Linked DNA regions of Macaca fascicularis. The protein of the gene in region 1 purifies or fractionates together with the protein of each later gene. This does not show direct contact. Links are inferred from orthologs where the notes say so. Each region holds a gene or a part of one and is shown in the gene's direction. Other genes may lie near its edges.

The links.
Region 2: the proteins of RAD9A (region 1) and HUS1B purify together in Homo sapiens (co-immunoprecipitation; 3 studies listed by BioGRID and IntAct, counting the BioPlex papers as one, with this or other methods). This does not show direct contact. The link is inferred for Macaca fascicularis from reciprocal best matches to the Homo sapiens genes RAD9A and HUS1B.

Annotation. Positions count from the first base shown.
Region 1 is NC_088388.1:6,978,799-6,982,532, reverse strand, and holds the end of RAD9A (cell cycle checkpoint control protein RAD9A), read left to right. Parts: intron 1-523; coding exon 524-633; intron 634-721; coding exon 722-986; intron 987-1,075; coding exon 1,076-1,213; intron 1,214-1,348; exon of another isoform or gene 1,349-1,998; coding exon 1,999-2,203; intron 2,204-2,280; coding exon 2,281-2,376; 3' UTR 2,377-3,234; downstream 3,235-3,734. Other genes in the region: PPP1CA (serine/threonine-protein phosphatase PP1-alpha catalytic subunit), read right to left, coding at 3,360-3,470, 3,547-3,681. UniProt on the Homo sapiens protein: Component of the 9-1-1 cell-cycle checkpoint response complex that plays a major role in DNA repair. The 9-1-1 complex is recruited to DNA lesion upon damage by the RAD17-replication factor C (RFC) clamp loader complex.
Region 2 is NC_088378.1:172,425,511-172,429,537, forward strand, and holds HUS1B (checkpoint protein HUS1B), read left to right. Parts: upstream 1-1,788; 5' UTR 1,789-1,988; coding exon 1,989-2,840; 3' UTR 2,841-3,152; downstream 3,153-4,027.

The DNA of each region.
Region 1 (3,734 bases):
CTCGGATTGCAGGCATGAGCCACTGCACCCAGCTACTCTTTTTTTTTTTTAATCCTTGTGCAGGAGCCTCGCTAATCTTTTGCATGCTGCAGTTTTAGCGTATGTGCTGCTGAAGCGAGCGCTGTCTCATGAATAATTTCAAATATATGTAAAAGCAGATGCAGCTCCCGTCCCCACTTGACTTGAAGCAAATTCCAGATGTGATCTCATCTGTATAGCAATGGGTATCCCTAGAGGATAAGGATTTCAGGGCTCTTTCTGAAGGCCGGGTTTGTAGGGCGGCATGAGTGCCATGTCCTGCCTCTGGATCCTCTCCCTGCTCTGCATGGTCAGGTACCACCTGCCAGGTTTGAGCAATCACTGCAACCAGCCCCTTCCTGCCACCTTATCTGGGCCTCGTCCACCGTGTGCTAGGCCTGCGCATATCCATGCGTGTGCATGTGTGACCCCCACCTCAGGTCCTCTGTGAGCAAAGCCCTGGGCAGGGCCAAGCATTGGGGGTAATGCTCCGCCCCGTTCACAGGGTCTTGGGGGAGGCTGTTCTGCCCTTCCCTCCTGCGCTGGCTGAAGTGACGCTGGGCATTGGTCGTGGCCGCAGGGTCATCCTGCGCAGCTACCATGAGGAGGAGGCAGGTGAGGGAGCTGGACGTGACCTGGGACAGAGCAGAGCGGCAGGTGGGAGAGGGGTGGGGCCCAGGTTCCTCCTATTCTTCCCCAACAGACAGCACTGCCAAAGCCATGGTGTCCGAGATGTGCCTTGGAGAGGAGGATTTCCAGCAGCTGCAGGCCCAGGAAGGGGTGGCCATCACTTTCTGCCTCAAGGAATTCCGGGTGAGGTTCCCCCCACGCACTTGCCGGTCCTGTCCTGCCTGCCCAGCTCAGCCCAACCCGGGGCCTCACCTGCTACCTCTTTCCTCTCAGGGGCTCCTGAGCTTTGCAGAGTCAGCAAACTTGAATCTTAGCATTCATTTTGATGCTCCAGGCAGGTAATTCCCAGCCTTGGGACAGGGAAGGGCTCTGGGATGCCAGGAGCTGAATGGGATGACCTAGCTTGGGACCCCCATCCCCTGCCCAGGCCTGCCATCTTCACCATCAAGGACTCTTTGCTGGATGGCCACTTTGTCTTGGCCACACTCTCAGACACCGACTCGCACTCCCAGGACCTGGGCTCCCCAGAGCGTCACCAGCCAGTGCCTCAGCTCCAGGCTCACAGGTGAGGGCACCTCCCCCAACTCCTCCTCTCCCCATGTCTGTGCACTCCAGCCTGAGACTGCAATTCCTAGCTTCTGCACCTTCCTGCAATGTGTTCTCTCCCGCTTCCCTCCTGTTCCTCCTCTCTCTCCATCAGGCCCCAGTCCCTACCCCTACAGTGCTCACAGCTGCCAGCCCTGCAGACTCAGCCTTCTTGGTCAGCTGTACTGAGACTCCTCCCACCCAGGGAAGCATCCCCAAGGCCCTGCTGGCTTCCTTCTCTGGCTGAGGCCTCCCCTCTGAGCCTCCTCCCAGGCCAAGGAGGGAAAGGGCTGCTGGGAGGCAGAAGCTGCCTGGGCTGGGGGAAGCAGGTGGCTGGAAGAGCAGGTGGGCTGGGGAGGATGGCCCAATGCACTTTCAGCACAGGAAGCTGGGGCTGGCCCCCAGCCCAGCCTGTCCCCGGCCTCCTGTGCTCTCCAGCTCCTGTCCCCTGGGAAGGCGGGGGCTTGGGCCCCATGTGGCCCAGTTCACAGGGCTTGCTGTTCCTCTCCCCTAGCTGAGCTAAAGCAGCCGCCAGGATGCCTTCCTCAGGCCCCTACCTGAATTCTGATCAGACATTCCTGGCCCACCCCTTCCAGGAAGCCACCACTTAACCCCTGCATCCTCTCCTCTCCAGCCAAATCAGGAAGTCATAAAACCAAGAGATCTTCAGTGGTCAGGGGGCCCCGGAGCTCCCTTGGAGCCCTCTACGGTGGGGCCCTGCCTCTGCTCCCCATTTCCTCCCTGATACTCTGATTCTGCCTGCAGCATACCCCACCCAGATGACTTTGCCAATGACGACATTGACTCTTACATGATCGCCATGGAAACCACTATAGGCAATGAGGGCTCGCGGGTGCTGCCCTCCATTTCCCTTTCACCTGGCCCCCAGCACCCCGAGAGCCCCGGTCTCCACTCCGAGGAAGATGAGGCTGAGCCCAGTACAGTACCTGGGACTCCCCCGCCCAAGAAGGTAGGGACTGGAGGTGGAGGCAGGGGCAGGAGGTGGGGAAGGCAGCAGCCTCCAGAACTCACTTGTTCTCTTTGCAGTTCCGCTCACTGTTCTTCGGCTCCATCCTGGCCCCTGTACGCTCCCCCCAGGGCCCCAGCCCTGTGCTGGCTGAAGACAGTGAGGGCGAAGGCTGAACCAAGAACCTGAAGCCTGTACCCAGAGGCCTTGGGCTAGATGAAACCCCAGCCAGTAGAAGAGCTGGGTCTCAGCCCTGGGGATCAGAAAGGTGGGCTTGCCGGAGCTGAGCTGTTTCACTGCCTCTCGCAGGCCCCAGCTGGCTGTCACTGTAAAGCTGTCCCGCAGCAGTCAGGCCTGGGCCCTGTTATCTCCCCACAACCCCCAGCCAATCATGACTTTCCAGACCTGGCCCTGAACTACTGACGTTCCTACCTCTTATTTCCCATTGAGTCTCAGGCTATACTCCAGCTGGCCAAGGCTGGAAACCTGTCTCCCTCAGGCTCACCTTCCTAAGGAAAACATCACAGCAGGTGCTGCCGGCCCCTGATGATCCAGCTTCTCTGCCAATCATGACCTGACCTGTTCCTTCCTGAAGTCCTGGGCATGCATCTGGGACGCCCGTGGAGCTGACAGTTTTTCTTGCTTTCCTGATACTCTTTGGTGCCGACCTGGAATTCTAAGAGCCTCGGACCTGCGTGTGTGGCTAGGGTTGCCCTTGCTGGGGCCTGGTGCCCAGCCTCCCAAGTAGCTCTGCGCAGAGGAGCTGCCAGGCAGCGTCTTAGACGCGAGACGGAGGCCATGGCGAGAATCCAGCTTTGACCTTTATTCAAGAGACCAGATGGGTTGCCCCAGGATCCGGCTGCCAGCCCTGAGGCCAAGCACGGCTGGAGACCCACGACCTGGTCTGCCGTTGCCCTGAGCTGCAGCCTCAGCCCCAGGATCCTGCTCACAGCCACCGCTGATGCAGGCAGGAAGCAGCCCTGGGGGATTGGACGCTGCTATTGATTCATTAAAAAAAAAAAAAAAGAAAAATACACCAAGGCTCCATGTTCCCCGTGACAGGTGGGCCTGAGGGGCCGGGGTGACCCCCCCCCAGCATGGCAGCATGATTTCTGTACAATCCATCCATCATCTGGGGCACAGGCGCGGGGTGCAGGGGCTATTTCTTGGCTTTGGCGGAATTGCGGGGTGGGGTGATGGGCCGGCCCCCAGGGTTCAGGCCACTGAACTGCCCGTACTTCCCCTTGTTCTTGTCGGCGGGCTTGAGGATCTAAAAGAGACAGGGTTGGTCAGGCTCATGGGGCTGAGCCACGGGGCCTAGTAGCTCCTTTCTTCCCCACACTCACCTGGAAGGAGCACATGAGGGTCTCGTCCACGCTCATCATGGCGCCAGCATTGTCAAACTCGCCACAGTAGTTGGGAGCTGAGAAAAGTGTCACCAGCTGCCGCTTGGCAAAGAACTCATAGCCATCTTCTACCACCTGGGTGAGGATCGGAGCAGTCAGTCCCAAGTGCAGGCAAGGCCCTCCCCTTC
Region 2 (4,027 bases), on another chromosome or scaffold:
AATATCCTGGCTAGGCGCGGTGGCTCACATCTGTAATCCCAGCACTTTGAGAGGCCAAGGCGGGCAGATCACTTGAGATCAGGAGTTGGAGACCAGCCTGGCCAGCATGGTAAAACCTCATCTTTACTAAAAATACAAAAATTAGCTGGGCATGGTGGCAGGCACCTGTAATCCCAGCTACTCAGGAGGCCGAGGCGGGAGGCAGAGGTTGCAGTGAGCTGAGATCGCGTCATTGCACTCTAGCCTGGGTGATGAGAGTCAGACTTTGTCTCAAAAAAAAAAAATATATATATATATATATATATATTTTTTATATATACAAAATATCCTGAAATTACCTTGCAATTTATACATTTCATACATTCATGTAAAAATTTGTGTTGAATACCAGTTGCATGGCAGATACTGTTCTAAATGCTGGCTGTCCAGTGGTATACGGAACAAATAAGAACTCCTCTAAGTTACATTATTGTGGTTAGAGCTAGACAGCAAACAAAGAAGTGTAAGTATGTACTATGTCAGGGTGGTGATAATTCCCAGCAAAATTCCAGGAAGATTATTTTTAGACTCTGACAAAATATTTTAGAGTTCCTCTGGAGCAATATCTGTGAGAGAATGAGAGAAGTTCTGAAAGATTGTCCTATTCGATATTGAAATATAATATGGAAATTAAATCACTGGTACAGGTGCAAGATAGGGCAGTGGGAGAAAATATAGAGAGGGCCAGGAAACATTGAGACAAAAATGAGAATTTTTTGTCTAAAATAAAATTGACATTTCAGATTAGTGGAGAAGTGGATTGTTTAGTGAATTGTGTGTATCAGCTAGGTATTCGGTACTGCAAGATTTCAACTGAGTCAAACAACTAAGTCATAAAAACAGATAACATTAAAGTACCAGAAACAGGACTTTGAAAGCATGACCCTAGAAGTAGTAGAGAAGAGGTCAATAGGTTTGACATAAAAAAAGATTCAATATTTCCCAAGAGCAAAGAGTACCAAAAACAGTGTGAAAAGTCACATGATAAACTGGGGAAGATATTTACAGTACATGTAATGGACAGAGGGTTAATGTTCTTTCTAGATATCTTGAAATCAAGAAAAATAAACTCAATAAAAAGATGCGAAGGCCATAAAATGGAATTCACACACAGTGCAAGTTGAATTTTTTTTTTTTTTTTGCCTGCCAGAGTGCCACAGATGAAACAGATTGCTAATATCCAGTGTTGCTGGTGGGCTAGAGTGTTCACGCAGCTTTCTGCAGACCAGTTTGAAAATATTTATTAGGATTTTAAAAGTGCATTCATTGACCAGCACTTCACTTCGGAATTTAACGCAAGGAAATACTTGAGTAAATGGGCAAAACTATTTTGTACAAAAATATTCATTGTGTTCATAATAGCAAAAAATTGGAAATCATCTCAATGCCACTTGTATTCTAACTCTATACATTGGAAAACTGAGCAGCCATGAAAATGATGTAGATTTGTTTCACCAACATGGAGAGATGCCTGTTACATATTTAATGTGTGAAGATGAGGTTGTAAAATGTGTGCCTAGTATGCTATTATTTCGTACGACCCGTGGAACTATATCTTCATGTACGATTGATGAAGATGGTATCAGTGTGTATGCCATAGAGATTAAAAGTGGTTAATTTATCTGAGTGATGACTTTGTCTTCATAGTGGCGAGAATACTGAGGAGTGTCAGCAGTGGAATGCCTGCTCTTCTCATAACCGGAGCGGAAACGGAAGCGTTTTGTGAGAGGGCTGGCGGGCAGGTGAGAACGGCGTTGGCGCGCCCGCCCGGCGTCGGCTCCAGGCCTGGGGCTGCGGAAGCCAGAACAGAGCCCGGAACCCGAGTGCCTGCCCTGCTGGGGCCCGGAGGGAGGGCGGGGAGGGCAGCGCCGGGGACCCCAGCGGACCGGAAGGACTTGTGGCACGCGGCATTCCCCTCAGAGGCCCCGAGTTGCCTTCGCTGTGGCGTCATGAAGTTTCGCGCCAAGATCACCGGCAAGGGCCGTCTAGAGCTGTTCATCCACGTCAGCGGCACCGTCGCCAGGCTGGCGAAGGTCTGCGTGCTCCGCGTGCGCCCTGACAGCCTGTGCTTCGGCCCCGCGGGCTTCCGCGGCCTCCGTGAGGCCGGGCTGTGGTGCGAGGCCGGGCTGTGGTGCGAGGTGCGGCGGGGAGCCTTCCAGCAGTTTCACATGGAAGGTGTCTCGGAAGAGCTCGATGAGATCCACCTGGAGCTGACGGCGGAGCACCTGTCCAGGGCGGCGAGAAGCGCGGCGGGCGCGTCCTCCCTGAAGCTGCAGCTGACCCACAGGCGCCGCCCCTGCCTCACGGTGGCGGTGGCGCTGGCCTCGCCCCTGGGCCGCGCTCGCAGCGTGGTGCACGATCTGCCCGTGCAGGTGCTTCCCCGGAGAGCGTGGCGAGACTGCCCGCCGCCCAGCCTGCGCGCCGCCGACGCGAGCATCCACCTGCCGCGCTGGAGGACGCTGAGGAGCATCGTGGAGAGGATGGCGAACGTGGGCGATCACGTGCTGGTGGAAGCAAACCTCAGGGGCAGGATGACCCTGAGTATGGAGACGGAGGTGGTGTCCATTAAAAGTTACTTTAAAAATCTTGGAAACCCTCCGGAGTCGGCTGGTGTGCCTCCACACAGAGACCTGGAGAGCGTGGTGCAAGTGCGGGTAGATAATCGGAAGCTCCTGCAGTTTTTGGAGGGACAGCAAATAAATCCCACGATGGCCTTATGCAATATTTGGGACAATAGTCTTCTTCAGCTTGTTTTGGTTCAAGGAGATGTCTCTCTCCAGTATTTCATTCCTGCTTTGTAAAAATTCAGCCAGCGTAGATTTGTTTTTTTTAAGCTTATGATCTTTTCAAAACTGAAACAGACCCTGAGTTAATTGGGTTGAAAGTTTGCACCTTCTCTGACTTATACAGGGCGTATATTTTGTGGAGCCCTTCCTCCTTTGCAAAATTTGTATTAAAGCATTGATAAAACAGTTGGGTAGTTTATGTTTTTGTTTGTTGGGTTTGTCAGGTTTTTTTTCCTGCTTAAGATTCTAACAAGTAAATTATTCTTCAACTTTTTTTCGGGGGGAAAAACAGGGTTGTAATGAAATAAATATTTTTGAATCCTGAAACAATTGCATCAGTATTTTATTATAAAATGCTGCTGTGTAAAGCAGGAAAGTTCTCATTTTAAAATATGCATAAATGTTTTCCGAGGGTATTTCTTATGTAGAGAGCTGAATATATCTGCAAGATGAAAGGTATTTAGCGTGTGTGCGCATTACATATTCTTTGTTAAGCTGTGTTTTGTCATAGGATATATCAAAGAATGTATCAGTATACATGGTTTTGAGATTTATTATCTACATAGTTTGAATTGCTTATTTATTAGATTCATTTTTCACAATTTTTCACATGTATCATACTCACATTAGGAATCAAGGAAATATAGGCATATCTCAGAGATATTCCAAGTTTGGTTCCACACCACTGCAAAAAGCAAATATTGCAATAAAGACAGATGAGTTTTTGGATTTTCAGTACATATAAACCTTATGTTTGCATTACACTGTAGTCTGTTGAGAGTACAATAGTACTATGTCTAAAAAAGTACACATCTTAATTTTAAAATACTTCATTGGTAAAAAATGCTACTCATCATCTGAGCCCTCAGCAAGTCATAATCTTTTTGCTGGTGGGAGGCCTTTATCTCCCTCTTGATAGCTGCTGACCGATTCTAGTGGTGGTTGTTGGAAGGCTCAGGTAGCTGTGGCAGTTTCTTAAAATAAGGTAGTGAACTTGCTGGATCGATTGACTTTTGTGAAAGATTTCTCTTTATCATGGGATGCTTTGGGTATTTTGTCCACAGTAGAACTTCTCTCAAAACAGTCAGTCCTCTCAAACCCTGCTACTGGTTTATCAACCAAGTTTATACACTGTACTAAATCTTTAGTTGTTATTTCAACAGTATTCACAGCATCTTCACCAGGAGTAGATTCCATCTCAA